3 linked regions of the Saccharomyces cerevisiae S288C genome follow. The protein of the gene in region 1 binds, or shares a complex with, the protein of each later gene. Each region holds a gene or a part of one and is shown in the gene's direction. Other genes may lie near its edges.

The links. The genes of interacting proteins can lie anywhere in the genome.
Region 2: the proteins of RSC8 (region 1) and STH1 are in contact, whole or in part, in a cryo-EM structure (PDB 6V8O), measured with the Saccharomyces cerevisiae proteins. Residues at the interface, in NP_116695.3 of Saccharomyces cerevisiae: Phe224 (codon at 2,565), Val226 (codon at 2,571), Asn227 (codon at 2,574), Leu228 (codon at 2,577), Thr229 (codon at 2,580), Ile230 (codon at 2,583), Lys231 (codon at 2,586), Lys232 (codon at 2,589), Asn233 (codon at 2,592), Val234 (codon at 2,595), Tyr235 (codon at 2,598), Gln239 (codon at 2,610), Ala243 (codon at 2,622), Leu244 (codon at 2,625), Arg249 (codon at 2,640), Asn250 (codon at 2,643), Ser251 (codon at 2,646), Asn281 (codon at 2,736), Leu282 (codon at 2,739), Cys283 (codon at 2,742), Arg285 (codon at 2,748), Cys286 (codon at 2,751), Phe287 (codon at 2,754), Gln288 (codon at 2,757), His291 (codon at 2,766), Asn295 (codon at 2,778), Phe296 (codon at 2,781), Lys313 (codon at 2,832), Leu321 (codon at 2,856), Leu324 (codon at 2,865); in NP_012140.1 of Saccharomyces cerevisiae: Ala53 (codon at 1,969), Glu56 (codon at 1,978), Gln57 (codon at 1,981), Leu59 (codon at 1,987), Tyr60 (codon at 1,990), Tyr62 (codon at 1,996), Arg63 (codon at 1,999), Ala64 (codon at 2,002), Gln66 (codon at 2,008), Asn67 (codon at 2,011), Glu80 (codon at 2,050), Arg101 (codon at 2,113), Asn116 (codon at 2,158), Lys117 (codon at 2,161), Leu119 (codon at 2,167), Val120 (codon at 2,170), Gln123 (codon at 2,179), Leu124 (codon at 2,182), Leu125 (codon at 2,185), Glu126 (codon at 2,188), Lys127 (codon at 2,191), Asp128 (codon at 2,194), Thr129 (codon at 2,197), Pro132 (codon at 2,206), Tyr134 (codon at 2,212), Phe135 (codon at 2,215), Leu138 (codon at 2,224), Arg202 (codon at 2,416), Leu206 (codon at 2,428), Leu209 (codon at 2,437).
Region 3: the proteins of RSC8 (region 1) and SFH1 are in contact, whole or in part, in a cryo-EM structure (PDB 6V8O), measured with the Saccharomyces cerevisiae proteins. Residues at the interface, in NP_116695.3 of Saccharomyces cerevisiae: Arg71 (codon at 2,106), Phe72 (codon at 2,109), Leu73 (codon at 2,112), Ala74 (codon at 2,115), Lys75 (codon at 2,118), Thr77 (codon at 2,124), His78 (codon at 2,127), Pro79 (codon at 2,130), Ile81 (codon at 2,136), Arg100 (codon at 2,193), Ser101 (codon at 2,196), Ser109 (codon at 2,220), Ser110 (codon at 2,223), Arg111 (codon at 2,226), Phe112 (codon at 2,229), Lys113 (codon at 2,232), Phe124 (codon at 2,265), Tyr129 (codon at 2,280), Pro133 (codon at 2,292), Tyr134 (codon at 2,295), Glu135 (codon at 2,298), Tyr136 (codon at 2,301), Thr138 (codon at 2,307), Ile139 (codon at 2,310), Thr140 (codon at 2,313), Ala141 (codon at 2,316), Arg143 (codon at 2,322), Arg144 (codon at 2,325), Asn145 (codon at 2,328), Val146 (codon at 2,331); in NP_013425.1 of Saccharomyces cerevisiae: Ser2 (codon at 2,040), Gln4 (codon at 2,046), Asn5 (codon at 2,049), Gln6 (codon at 2,052), Leu7 (codon at 2,055), Ile8 (codon at 2,058), Pro9 (codon at 2,061), Gln10 (codon at 2,064), Ala11 (codon at 2,067), Tyr12 (codon at 2,070), Ile13 (codon at 2,073), Ser14 (codon at 2,076), Asn15 (codon at 2,079), Phe16 (codon at 2,082), Arg19 (codon at 2,091), Pro28 (codon at 2,118), Ile29 (codon at 2,121), Asp154 (codon at 2,496), Leu155 (codon at 2,499), Gln156 (codon at 2,502), Asp157 (codon at 2,505), Gln158 (codon at 2,508), His159 (codon at 2,511), His160 (codon at 2,514), Asn161 (codon at 2,517), Pro162 (codon at 2,520), Ile165 (codon at 2,529), Ile171 (codon at 2,547), Thr174 (codon at 2,556), Phe175 (codon at 2,559).

Annotation. Positions count from the first base shown.
Region 1 is NC_001138.5:227,013-231,081, reverse strand, and holds RSC8 (Rsc8p), read left to right. Parts: upstream 1-1,895; coding exon 1,896-3,569; downstream 3,570-4,069. Other genes in the region: IRC5 (putative ATPase), read right to left, coding at 1-1,702; anaphase promoting complex subunit CDC26, read right to left, coding at 3,745-4,069.
Region 2 is NC_001141.2:116,180-122,646, forward strand, and holds STH1 (RSC chromatin remodeling complex ATPase subunit STH1), read left to right. Parts: upstream 1-1,812; coding exon 1,813-5,892; downstream 5,893-6,467. Other genes in the region: MET18 (Met18p), read left to right, coding at 1-725; RRT14 (Rrt14p), read right to left, coding at 845-1,465. UniProt on the Saccharomyces cerevisiae protein: Catalytic component of the chromatin structure-remodeling complex (RSC), which is involved in transcription regulation and nucleosome positioning. RSC is responsible for the transfer of a histone octamer from a nucleosome core particle to naked DNA.
Region 3 is NC_001144.5:776,009-779,900, reverse strand, and holds SFH1 (Sfh1p), read left to right. Parts: upstream 1-2,036; coding exon 2,037-3,317; downstream 3,318-3,892. Other genes in the region: PEX30 (peroxisome biogenesis protein), read right to left, coding at 1-686; U2-type spliceosomal complex subunit CWC24, read left to right, coding at 949-1,728; MMS22 (Mms22p), read right to left, coding at 3,597-3,892. UniProt on the Saccharomyces cerevisiae protein: Component of the chromatin structure-remodeling complex (RSC), which is involved in transcription regulation and nucleosome positioning. RSC is responsible for the transfer of a histone octamer from a nucleosome core particle to naked DNA.

The DNA of each region.
Region 1 (4,069 bases):
TTTGCAATTTCTTATTTGAAATTTCCATTTGCAGGTTCTTCTTATATAGTTTGTCCATTTGCAACAAGGTTGGATTGATTTTATTGTCTGTATTTGAAGTTTCATTACCAGATAGTTTATAATTGATGAAATCTCGTATGGACCGATTAGAAACGTGGCCGATGTATTCATCGTTCAATGTGAAAAAATCCTTGATTAATTCTTTGAACATGGTTTTTTTCAACTTTCCATTCAATCCAGCCTTATAGAATTTTTCCTGTGCAGACGTCATCGGACAATTTATGATATATTCTCTCTTTGGCGGCAGAATATTAGCCAAAACAACTTTTTTCAATCTTCTCAAAAGGAATGGTTTCAGAATTGTGTGTAAATTGGAAATCAAATTTTTCTGTAGTTCATCGTTGATTAACTTATTCAATGCTTCAGAGTTGGAACCGGAGCCTAAATTTAAGCTGTCGAAGTCAAACCATTTATTGAATATCTCGAAATCGGCAAAGATATCGGGCATTATGAAATTCAAAAGTGACCATAATTCAGCTAGGTTATTTTGTAAAGGCGTCCCTGTTAGTAGCAGTCTATTGGAAGTATTGATTTTTTTTAACTCTTTAATCAATCTACAGTTTATATTTTTCAGACGGTGGCCTTCATCAACAATTAAAAATTTCCAATTTTGACTCATGATTAAGTCGGTATCTCTTAAAATAATTTCATATGATGTGATGACGATCCCCGTGCCGCCGTGTTGTTTAAAGAAATTTTTCAACTTGGCAGAACGTTCCTTATAACCATTGGTCCCATAATATTTTAGAACTGGTAGATCAGGAGCGAATTTTGCAAATTCGTTCATCCAATTATCTAGGGTGCTTAATGGTGCAGTCACTAGAAAAGGACCCTTTGTGTCCATTTCATATATGAACGCCAAAAGAGCAATACTTTGAACAGTCTTACCAAGACCCATTTCATCGGCAAGAATTCCGTTCAGGCCATTTTCATAAAGAGTGATCAGCCAGTTAAGACCTTCTAGTTGGTAAGGTTTTAAAATACAGTTTTTCAATAGGCGAGGTTGCTTTATTGCTGCATCGTCTGGTGCGCCGTTTTGGGTGGTTGTATCTTCGTTCTTTTTCTGTTTTTTGAAGAAATCTGTTATTGATTTTTTTTTTGTTTTACGTTTTTTTGAAGAATGTTCTTCATCATCAGAGTTGCTGTTATCTTTTGTATTAGCGTTAGCCACTTCATTAGATCGATGTAGTAAAGTATCGGCGATTATACTGGAATATACCTGACTCTGCCTCACAAACTCGTTTAGTTTCTTAAGTTTTAAAGAAACCGTCTTGGTATCCATCTCGGAGAGCTCATCATCCAAGGATTTTTGCTCTGATTTCGTGTCTTTTGCCAATTTATCCACCACTTGGGCTTGAACAGCTTCTGTATCGGAATCGTCCTCTGAGTCCAGCTGAATATCTTCGTCTGAATGCACATCATCTTGTAACCATATGGGGGCAGTGTCATTGTCGCCTTTGCCATGTTTATTGTCCTCTGAATCCAAATCTGAATCTGAATCTGAAATGTCAGCCGTTAGGTCATTGACTTCCTTCTCCCGGTAATTGACGCCATTGCTCATGTTTCTCGTCCTTGCAGCCACCCTGGCCCCAACAGCATCCTCAACAACAGTCATCAGCGCCGCGTTTGAGCATCTGCTCATCTCATCGCCAAATTTGATACTTCCTTAATCCGTTACTCTTTTCTATGATAATTTAATTACGGCGTTCTCTTTGTCACCCGCTTGATGTAAAAAAGTTGGAAAAAATAAGTTTCATCAACATTGAATTAGTTCGTGAGGTTTATAGAGAGAAGGGTAGAGCAGAGAAGCAAAGAGTAGATAGAAGGCCAGGATAATGAGCGACACTGAAAAGGATAAGGATGTCCCTATGGTAGACTCGCACGAAGCGACCGAGGAGCCACCCACCACAAGCACCAACACGCCATCTTTCCCTCACTTAGCACAGGAACAGGCGAAGGAGGAATCTGCCACATTGGGAGCAGAAGTAGCTCATAAGAAAATCAATTACGAGCAAGAAGCACAGAAACTGGAGGAGAAGGCCCTTAGGTTCCTGGCAAAGCAAACTCACCCGGTGATTATTCCGTCGTTTGCCTCTTGGTTTGATATTTCGAAGATCCACGAGATCGAAAAAAGATCCAATCCCGACTTTTTCAACGATTCATCAAGGTTCAAGACACCAAAGGCATATAAGGACACAAGAAATTTTATCATCAACACGTACCGTCTTTCGCCGTACGAATATTTGACCATTACCGCTGTGAGAAGAAATGTTGCCATGGATGTTGCCTCGATAGTGAAGATTCACGCGTTCTTGGAAAAATGGGGCTTAATCAATTATCAGATTGACCCCAGGACCAAGCCCAGTCTTATTGGGCCAAGTTTTACGGGCCACTTCCAAGTGGTTCTGGACACTCCGCAGGGGTTAAAGCCATTTTTACCAGAGAATGTGATCAAGCAAGAAGTGGAAGGAGGAGATGGAGCGGAACCACAAGTCAAGAAGGAATTTCCCGTTAATCTCACAATCAAGAAGAACGTTTACGATTCTGCACAAGACTTCAATGCATTACAAGACGAAAGTAGAAACTCCAGGCAGATTCACAAAGTTTACATTTGCCATACATGCGGTAACGAGTCAATCAATGTGCGCTACCACAATTTGCGTGCACGGGACACCAACCTGTGCTCCCGTTGTTTCCAAGAGGGTCATTTCGGTGCCAACTTTCAATCTTCAGATTTCATCAGATTAGAAAACAACGGAAACTCGGTTAAAAAAAACTGGTCAGACCAGGAGATGCTACTATTGCTGGAGGGTATTGAAATGTATGAAGACCAGTGGGAGAAGATTGCTGACCACGTGGGTGGGCACAAGCGTGTAGAAGACTGCATTGAAAAATTCCTAAGCTTACCGATCGAGGACAACTACATCCGAGAAGTTGTTGGTTCAACGCTGAATGGTAAGGGTGGCGACAGCCGCGATGGTAGTGTGTCCGGTTCGAAGTTGATGGAATGCGTGAATGATGCTGTCCAGACGCTACTGCAAGGCGACGACAAATTGGGTAAGGTCTCTGATAAGTCGAGAGAGATCTCCGAAAAGTACATTGAAGAAAGCCAAGCGATAATCCAAGAGTTAGTCAAGCTGACCATGGAGAAATTAGAGAGCAAGTTTACAAAGCTGTGCGATCTAGAAACGCAACTGGAGATGGAAAAACTGAAATATGTGAAGGAATCTGAAAAGATGCTGAACGACCGATTATCACTGAGTAAACAGATTCTTGACCTGAACAAGTCGCTGGAGGAGTTGAATGTGTCGAAGAAACTGGTACTGATCTCGGAGCAAGTAGACTCGGGCATACAACTAGTGGAGAAGGACCAGGAGGGCGATGACGAAGACGGCAATACGGCCACAGGACATGGCGTGAAACGTGTAGGCAAGGAAGGCGAGGAAGTAGGCGAAGGCGACTCCATTGCAAAATTGCAGCCCCAGGTGTACAAACCGTGGTCATTGTAAAAAAATATATAAGAAAAAAAAAAAAAAAAAAAAAGAGAGCCTACAAAGTGTACTATTGTCATATTTTATATTTCTAATACAACGTATATAAAACTAGAGAGAAGAAATTTTATAAGTGAAAGTGAATGTGGATGCGTGCGCGTGTGCGTGTGCGTGTGCGTATGCGGATATGCTATTATTCCTCGCGGATGTAGAAGGGGTTGTGGTTGTCGTTTGCATTGGACGTCTCGTGGGCGGTATTGCTGTCGGTGGACAGATGCAAGGAATTGAGGACTCTGGTGTGCGCTACCGAGGCTGCTTTGTCGTTGTAAGATGACATGTCGTCATCTTCATCGATATCGTTATCGTTATCGTTATTGTTGTCTTCGATATTCTGCGATGTGTCCTGAAAGTCTGTATTGGAGTGCAGCGATCCGCCATTTTTTCCTTGGAAGTATTTTGTCTTCTCGATATTCAGCTGCTGCTTGAGTTTCTGCTCGTTCAGGTCATCGATCAGAGAG
Region 2 (6,467 bases), on another chromosome or scaffold:
TTGAAGTGATGGTTTGGTTGACTAAAGGGCTGATAATGCAAAACTCATTAGAGTCATCAGAAATTGCAAAAAAGTTTATTGATTTACTGTCTAATGAAGAGATTGGCTCACTTGTATCGAAGCTATTCGAAGTTTTTGTCATGGATATCAGTTCTTTGAAGAAATTTAAAGGTATCAGTTGGAATAATAACGTTAAAATCTTGTACAAACAAAAATTCTTCGGTGACATTTTTCAAACACTAGTCAGCAACTATAAAAATACCGTGGACATGACCATTAAATGCAATTATTTAACTGCATTATCCTTAGTGTTGAAGCATACTCCAAGCCAATCGGTTGGTCCTTTTATCAACGATTTATTCCCGCTTTTATTGCAGGCTTTGGATATGCCTGATCCTGAAGTAAGGGTATCCGCTTTAGAAACTCTGAAGGACACTACGGATAAACATCACACTTTAATTACTGAACACGTAAGCACAATAGTTCCATTATTACTATCTCTTTCGCTTCCGCACAAATATAATAGTGTCAGTGTCAGGTTAATAGCCTTACAGCTTCTAGAAATGATTACGACTGTAGTACCTCTAAACTATTGTTTGAGCTATCAGGACGATGTTCTAAGCGCTTTAATACCAGTTTTATCTGACAAAAAAAGAATAATAAGAAAGCAATGCGTTGACACAAGACAGGTTTATTATGAATTAGGCCAAATCCCGTTCGAGTAAACGCTTGTATTTAATAATTTGTTCACATTGATGAGCACGTGAAAATCTTAGCGAGTATACTAAGTAAATATGATTCTTTTATGTATAGTACAGCAAAATAGCATTTATTTTTATTACGTTTAATCTTCTTCACTAGAGTCTTCCTCGTCGCTTAGTCCTACAGGTGCCAAACCCGGTGTCAGACCAGGATATCTATGATCTTTAACAAAATCGCTCTCTTTGATATCTTCCTTGAATTGTTTTCTTTTGAACCTTCTTCTTTTACTCCTGTCTGTGTTCGCAGTGGAAACTGTATCCTTCAAGATGGATTGCTGAATGTCTTCAAGCTCATCTCGTACTTCCTCTTCTAAATCCCACGACCTCAAATTTTGAGAATTCCTTTTGATTAACTTATTCAAATACTTCCTCTCATGGTCCGTTAATGTGCCCTCATGTTGATGTTTTTTCAAAACCTGGTGTTTTGCCAGTTGTTCAAGTTGCTCTTTATCTAATTTATGTTTCTTAACTTTTTTTTTTTTGACCAGTTTGCATTTTTTTTTAATTTTGTGAACGTCTCTGTTTTGTAACTGTACTCTCTTTTTCAAGTTCCTGTCGATTAACTGAGCTTTTGACCCATTGTTTACACTTGTTTTGCCATTATTAGCTCTGATTTTGGGAACGCCAGGCAAAAGGTTTGATAGCAGTCCATTAACAACCGAGGTGGCCTGGTATTTAGATGTTTGGCTCAGCGAAGATGACATTTTGGCCTAGCTAGCTCCCTCCTTAAGTTGTTCGTATTCTAAACAACTTTTCCACAAAACAATATTTCCACAGTTGCCAGCTATATTTCCATATTCCTTAGTTAAAGCTCATCGCAAAATTTTTCAAAGAGCATTAGGGTCACGTGTATACATTCACGTGACTATCTAGTACCCGCCCCGTGGCAAAAAAAGAAGACACCAATTTGGCACTGAGAAAAGAAAAAGTTTATCAATAACGAAAACGAAACTTAAGAGGAAAAAGAGTATAGAGAAAAACAAAGGCAATCAGCGGCTAATTTGGTGGAAATAACAACACAAAGAGGCAGCACAGTTTAGAGCAAGCGCGAATGCTTCAGGAACAATCTGAGTTGATGAGCACGGTGATGAATAATACACCTACAACAGTTGCCGCATTGGCTGCGGTTGCTGCAGCCTCTGAAACAAATGGAAAGCTGGGGTCCGAGGAACAACCTGAAATCACTATTCCAAAGCCGAGGAGTAGTGCACAGTTGGAGCAGCTACTCTACCGCTATAGGGCTATTCAAAACCATCCAAAGGAAAACAAGTTGGAGATCAAGGCAATAGAAGACACTTTTAGGAATATATCACGTGATCAGGATATCTACGAAACAAAGTTGGATACCTTGAGAAAGAGTATAGATAAAGGATTTCAGTACGATGAGGATTTATTGAATAAACACTTGGTTGCCTTACAGTTACTGGAGAAAGATACAGATGTCCCTGACTACTTCTTAGACTTACCAGACACCAAGAACGATAACACTACGGCGATCGAAGTAGACTATTCTGAAAAGAAACCAATAAAAATATCAGCAGATTTCAATGCGAAGGCCAAAAGTTTGGGTTTAGAATCAAAATTTTCTAACGCTACGAAGACTGCATTGGGCGATCCAGATACCGAAATAAGGATTTCTGCACGTATATCCAACAGAATTAACGAGCTGGAAAGATTACCTGCCAATCTGGGTACATACTCACTAGATGATTGTTTAGAGTTTATTACAAAAGATGATTTATCGTCCAGAATGGATACTTTCAAAATCAAAGCTCTTGTGGAATTGAAAAGTTTAAAGCTACTAACTAAACAAAAATCGATTAGGCAAAAGTTAATCAACAATGTTGCCAGCCAGGCACACCACAATATTCCATATCTACGTGATTCTCCTTTCACAGCAGCTGCACAAAGATCTGTTCAAATTAGAAGCAAAGTTATTGTCCCACAAACCGTTCGTTTGGCAGAAGAATTAGAAAGGCAACAACTATTGGAAAAAAGAAAAAAGGAACGTAATTTACATTTACAAAAAATAAACAGCATCATTGATTTCATCAAAGAAAGGCAGTCCGAGCAATGGTCTCGTCAAGAACGTTGCTTTCAGTTCGGTAGATTAGGCGCTTCATTACACAATCAAATGGAGAAAGATGAACAGAAAAGAATAGAAAGAACTGCTAAGCAACGTTTAGCTGCTTTGAAGTCTAACGATGAGGAGGCTTATTTAAAGCTTTTAGATCAAACTAAGGATACTAGAATTACACAGTTATTGAGGCAGACTAATTCCTTTTTGGATTCTTTGTCGGAGGCTGTTAGAGCACAACAAAACGAAGCAAAAATTCTTCATGGTGAGGAAGTCCAACCAATTACAGATGAAGAAAGAGAAAAGACTGACTATTATGAAGTCGCTCATAGGATCAAAGAAAAAATTGATAAACAACCTTCTATTCTTGTTGGCGGCACTTTAAAAGAGTATCAATTACGAGGTTTAGAATGGATGGTGTCGTTGTACAATAATCATTTGAACGGTATTCTAGCAGATGAGATGGGTTTAGGTAAAACCATCCAATCTATTTCTCTAATAACATATCTTTATGAAGTTAAGAAAGACATCGGCCCTTTCCTAGTCATTGTACCTTTATCCACAATAACCAATTGGACTTTAGAATTTGAAAAATGGGCTCCGAGCTTAAACACTATTATATACAAAGGTACACCAAATCAAAGACACTCTTTACAGCATCAAATAAGGGTTGGAAATTTTGACGTCTTATTGACAACATATGAGTATATTATTAAAGATAAATCTCTTTTATCAAAACATGATTGGGCTCATATGATCATTGACGAAGGTCATAGAATGAAAAATGCTCAATCGAAGTTATCATTCACAATTTCTCATTATTATCGTACAAGAAACAGATTGATTTTAACGGGTACTCCTTTGCAGAACAATCTACCAGAATTATGGGCACTGTTGAACTTTGTTTTGCCTAAAATTTTCAATTCTGCGAAGACTTTTGAAGATTGGTTTAATACTCCATTTGCCAACACCGGTACCCAAGAGAAACTAGAATTAACGGAAGAAGAAACTCTGTTAATTATTAGAAGATTACATAAGGTGTTAAGGCCATTTTTATTGCGTCGTTTGAAAAAGGAAGTGGAAAAGGATTTGCCTGATAAAGTGGAAAAAGTTATCAAATGTAAACTGTCTGGTTTGCAACAACAGTTATATCAGCAAATGCTAAAGCATAACGCGCTATTTGTTGGTGCAGGGACTGAGGGGGCTACAAAGGGTGGTATTAAAGGTTTGAACAATAAGATTATGCAATTAAGAAAAATCTGCAACCATCCATTCGTATTTGATGAAGTGGAAGGTGTTGTAAACCCCTCAAGAGGTAATAGTGATTTACTTTTCAGAGTAGCGGGCAAGTTTGAATTACTGGATAGAGTGCTACCGAAATTCAAAGCCTCAGGCCACAGAGTGCTAATGTTTTTCCAAATGACTCAAGTTATGGATATTATGGAAGACTTCCTAAGAATGAAAGATTTGAAGTATATGAGATTAGATGGTAGCACTAAGACTGAAGAAAGAACAGAAATGCTGAATGCATTTAATGCTCCAGATTCAGATTATTTCTGTTTCCTTTTGTCAACTAGAGCCGGTGGTTTGGGTTTGAATTTACAAACTGCAGATACGGTGATCATCTTTGATACAGATTGGAATCCACACCAAGATTTACAGGCCCAAGATAGAGCTCACAGAATTGGACAAAAGAATGAGGTTAGAATTTTAAGATTAATTACCACTGATTCCGTAGAGGAAGTTATTTTGGAAAGAGCTATGCAGAAATTGGACATTGACGGCAAGGTTATCCAGGCAGGTAAGTTTGATAACAAATCAACTGCAGAAGAGCAAGAAGCTTTTTTGAGAAGATTGATCGAAAGTGAAACGAACAGGGATGATGATGACAAAGCAGAATTAGATGACGATGAGTTAAACGATACTTTGGCCAGAAGCGCTGATGAAAAAATACTATTTGATAAAATTGATAAGGAGAGAATGAACCAAGAAAGAGCAGATGCTAAAGCGCAAGGCCTGAGAGTCCCTCCTCCTAGATTGATTCAATTAGACGAGCTACCCAAAGTATTCAGAGAAGACATTGAAGAACATTTCAAGAAAGAGGATTCTGAACCATTGGGAAGGATTAGACAAAAGAAAAGAGTTTACTATGATGACGGTCTAACTGAAGAACAATTTTTGGAGGCTGTAGAAGATGATAATATGTCTTTAGAAGATGCCATTAAAAAAAGACGTGAAGCACGTGAAAGAAGGAGATTACGTCAAAATGGTACAAAAGAGAATGAAATAGAAACCCTGGAAAACACGCCTGAAGCATCCGAAACTTCATTGATTGAGAACAATAGCTTCACTGCAGCTGTGGATGAGGAAACTAATGCTGATAAAGAGACTACAGCTTCCAGGTCAAAACGCCGGAGTAGTAGAAAGAAAAGGACCATTAGCATTGTTACGGCAGAAGACAAAGAGAATACTCAAGAAGAGAGTACATCTCAAGAAAACGGGGGCGCTAAGGTGGAAGAGGAAGTAAAAAGTAGCTCCGTTGAAATTATAAATGGTTCAGAATCCAAGAAAAAGAAACCGAAACTGACCGTCAAGATCAAACTAAACAAAACAACTGTGTTGGAGAATAATGATGGTAAGCGAGCAGAAGAAAAGCCAGAGAGTAAATCGCCCGCGAAGAAGACTGCAGCCAAAAAAACTAAAACTAAATCCAAGTCGCTTGGGATTTTTCCCACGGTGGAAAAATTGGTGGAAGAAATGCGCGAACAGTTAGATGAGGTAGACTCCCATCCAAGGACGTCCATTTTTGAAAAGCTTCCTTCGAAACGCGACTATCCGGACTATTTTAAAGTAATTGAAAAACCCATGGCCATTGATATTATATTGAAAAACTGCAAGAATGGCACTTACAAAACTTTGGAGGAGGTAAGGCAAGCCTTACAAACGATGTTTGAAAATGCTAGATTCTATAATGAAGAGGGATCCTGGGTTTACGTTGATGCTGACAAGTTAAATGAGTTTACTGATGAATGGTTCAAGGAACACTCTTCGTAACGTTTTCATCACCACATGTTTTTTTTTTTTACGACTATATCCCTTTCCCCTCTAATACTCTTTCTAGCCTTTTTTTCTACCTCTACATATGTTTATAAAATATATACCACTGTAACAATAAGATCGACAGAGCGAATATAATTCTTTGAGTAACTAATATCCTTTGGCTTATTCTCTGGGCTTATTAGTGCCGCAAAATAATTACCCGGCGGCGATGGACCAGTTAGCTTCGACCGTTTGCGATTCCGGGGCTAAGGAAGGGGCCTCTGCAAATAAGAAAGAGGCATTACACATAAATGATTGGCAAAGGGACTGCGGGAGTCAAGACCTACATGTAAGTCCGATTTACGATAACGGTTTAGATTCATTGGGTGTGTACTATTTATACTTTAACAAACCCGTGTGTTATTTAATAAGATCATATCTTGTTTGTTTTTCGCCCTCAATTTTGTTTCTGTCACATAGTCGCAGCAGCTGAATATAGATAGGAAGAGAGAAGGAAGCGATTCTCGTTCAGCATCATACTTCTTCCTAATTTCCCCAAATTAAAGTTTCGTTTGAAAGAAACAACAAAA
Region 3 (3,892 bases), on another chromosome or scaffold:
CTTCTTGCTACTTTAGACCATGGTGAGTGATACGTTAAAAGGAACATGCCCACCATCAGCATCAAGCTTCTCGGTGGTAAAAGTAGCCAGGTTATCATCACGTATATTGGAGATAATATGACCGTAGTATATAGAAGCCGTTGAATATCTTGCGTTCCAAGGTTAACCATGGGGGAGAGCAAAATATCTGACTTCAAGGATACTCTGTTCATTAAGAGAGCAATATCTTCTAATGTTGGTGAGGAGCTCAACGTACCCTCAATATAATTGTCCAATAGGGAATAACCCCACAAAATAGCAATGATGGCAAGATGTCCAAAGTACTTCACCAGCGTTTCAAAATACTCAACGGTAGTAATAAAGAGACACAGCATCAAAACACTGCTCCAAATATTCTTTCCTGTCCATGTAACAACGTTTAGGAATTCGTCAATGAGAATTAAATAAGGGTACAATTTCACCAACGCCTTTGAGATTGTGGGCGGTGTTGATGTCAAAAGCGGCGAAGTAGCTACGTTAACTTTCTCCAATGACCCGTTATCATTATCCTCAGACACCCCGCTTTCAGCTTCGTTCTTTTCCAAAGCAGCTCGTATCACTTTTGTAGTATTGCCACCAATCCTCGGTTGCAGCGTCTCTGCAAACTTGGCTCTAGTCTCATGCACGTTAGTTGTGTTACCACTCATTGAAAATCAGTTTTTACACTCCGGAGGATCAACTAGACAGCTCGAATCCTAAATTGCAACCTTGCATGCCCACTTTACCTCAGTAGCGAACGTATCCAAGTATATATTTTGTGAAGCTGATCCAAAAACCCTTTAGTCCTCTTCCCGCTTCTTTCCGTGCAACCGGAGAATAATAAGAAAAAGCCATGCGCATCTCTATCTGAAGTGGACTCAAGCTAAAGCCATCGAAAGCTCCATCACTTAATCAAAGCTCCAGGTATTCATGTTCAGAAAGAGATTAGTGAACAAAAGCTCTTCTGATGAAAAGAACCAGAAAAAGAGGCAGAAAATTAATTTTAGCGAAGAGAAACTAGTGGCCAGCGATGAAGAAAAGGGTTCCAGTGACCTCATGAGCTTAGCCAAGAGTGGAAATAGCAGGACACTTCAACTTTCACATGAGAATGAAGGTAAACTACAGAAAAAGGGTGAGGATTTAGATAAATACACTTTAACGGTCAACGACGACAGCACTAAAGAAGATCTTCTAAACTTTGAGAGAAAAGAGCTGGCTGAGAAGGCAAAGAAGAGGCGACCTAGTGATGACAATGAGCTGGTACTGAACATGAGCGGTAAAAATAAACGCCTCACTAAACAGATTAACCAACCAACGAATATCCGGACCACGGTGCTGATGGATTTTCAGCCCGACGTTTGCAAAGATTACAAACAGACGGGATACTGTGGTTACGGAGATAGCTGCAAGTTCTTACACTCGAGGGATGATTTCAAGACTGGCTGGAAGCTGAACCAAGAATGGAATGCGGATAAAGAGGACTCCAAAGCGGTTACTCTAGACTTGGAAAAGATACCGTTCAAGTGCACTCTTTGTAAGGAAGATTACAAGTCTCCAGTGGTCACAAACTGTGGCCATTATTTTTGTGGATCGTGTTTTGCCAAAGATATGAAAAAGGGCACCAAATGCTTTATATGCCACAAGGAGACCCACGGCAGTGCAAAAGTAGCATCTGACTTACAGAAGATGCTAAATAAAAGGAAAAGTTGATGGAGAATGCCATATCACCCCAAAAATTACACGCACCCGATGCTAATGTACAGGAATTATAGAGCACATGACCCATAGATTTATCGAGCATTGTTGCAATTTCGAAAGACTCTTTCACATAATAAAGTATGTAAACTATATAGATAGAAGATGTCCCGTGTCTTTTTGTCTACTAAATGATGATCTGCTCATTTAAAGTCGCCGCGACTACTTTGACAAAAAAAAAAAACTTAGAAAATACGACAAATAGAGATTATTGAATGAAGTACATTGAAAAAAGAAAGAAGAAAGGCACATAGCAGCACACAATGTCGCACCAAAACCAGCTTATTCCACAAGCTTATATTTCTAACTTTCATAACAGATTGACAAACGAAGATGATGGTATCCCCATCTTTACAATGGCTCAACAAACAAGGCAGCATAAAAGGGCTAAAGTGGTCAACTATGCGGAATATGACAACGATCTCTTTGATGAATTCAATATGAACGGTTCTAATTTCAACAATGCTGATACACACTATAAAGATAATGCAGTGTCTCATGAAAATACTCCGGCACTTACAAATGGTGTTACCATGGACGGTTCCGAATACAATGTCCTAGAGAACATGAATGGAGCTGATAGTATTATCTCTAACAACAAATACGATGCGGGTTCAAACATGGTTGTGGAATCTTTATCCGGTTTGAATAGCAATAACAACGCCAGCAATGGTCCGAGCAACAAAGCGCAGGCACAGGATATTGGAAACGCCGTTCTACCGGATCTGCAAGACCAACACCACAACCCCTTCAACATATTGAGATACCCTAAAATAAGAGATACTTTCATTAACGGAAAAGTGGTGTCTCCATATAGACTCAACACTGATCAAGAAACGAAGGCAAACGCCAATTCTGGAGAGGCAATCATGATACCAATTACTTTGGATATAGAACATATGGGTCATACCATAAAAGACCAGTTTCTCTGGAACTACAATGACGACTCCATATCTCCGGAGGAATTTGCCTCTATATACTGTAAAGATCTTGATATGACTTCCGCTACCTTACAAACTCAAATTGCGAATATAATAAAAGAGCAGTTGAAAGACCTCGAAAATATTGCAGCCACTGAGATAATGTCTGACCTCCACGTGATAATCAACCTAACCTGCAACTTACAAGACAGATTTTTTGAAGATAACTTCCAGTGGAACTTGAACGACAAATCACTTACTCCAGAAAGATTTGCTACATCCATTGTACAGGACCTTGGCTTAACAAGAGAGTTCATCCCCTTAATATCTCAATCGCTTCATGAAACTATCTTGAAGATAAAGAAGGACTGGGTAGATGGCCACTTGATTCAGGACCATGTCCCAAACGATGCCGCATTTGGGTACTTATCTGGTATAAGGCTGGATATTGATGAACTGGGCTCCAATTGGTGCCCAAGGGTGGAAATATTAACAAAAGAAGAAATACAAAAGAGAGAAATTGAAAAAGAAAGAAACTTAAGAAGATTGAAAAGAGAAACTGATAGATTATCTAGAAGGGGCAGGAGAAGATTAGATGACTTAGAAACCACAATGAGAATGTAGTAACTTTGCTTTTCTTGTTACAGAATTGTATTATTATAAGTATTATTAATCAAACGGGAAGGACAAAAAATTTAACAAACGCAGAAGCAACTAAATCAAGACTAAAGAGAACGTAAAAAAAGTCATGCACTTCTTTGAGATACACGTTACCAAAAGAATACAAAATGTTTATCACCAACACTGATAGATCTTGTTTCTATTTGGACTAATTCGCAATTTGACATATATGACATATATTACGGAGAATTTTTAAATATGCTTATATTACATGTGTATAATTTACGTATTCTTGAAGGTTTTGAAAGGTTCAGACGCCTCAATTTTTCCTATATTACTTTCTATTATCTTTATTACAATCGCAGATAGCGAACTTTGCAAAGTAGTATGAGGAATCTGATTAGGTATGTTCATATTACTATCAAGCATCCTTAGCTGCAAAAGTTTGTCATGCTCCCAAAACCCATCTGCGATTCTCAACACAGATACCAAAAACGCATCTTTTGCGGCGATCAAATCACTATTACTATTAAAGGTGTCGTCTGTTGCGCACTCAATACATAACGCCCTGTATACTT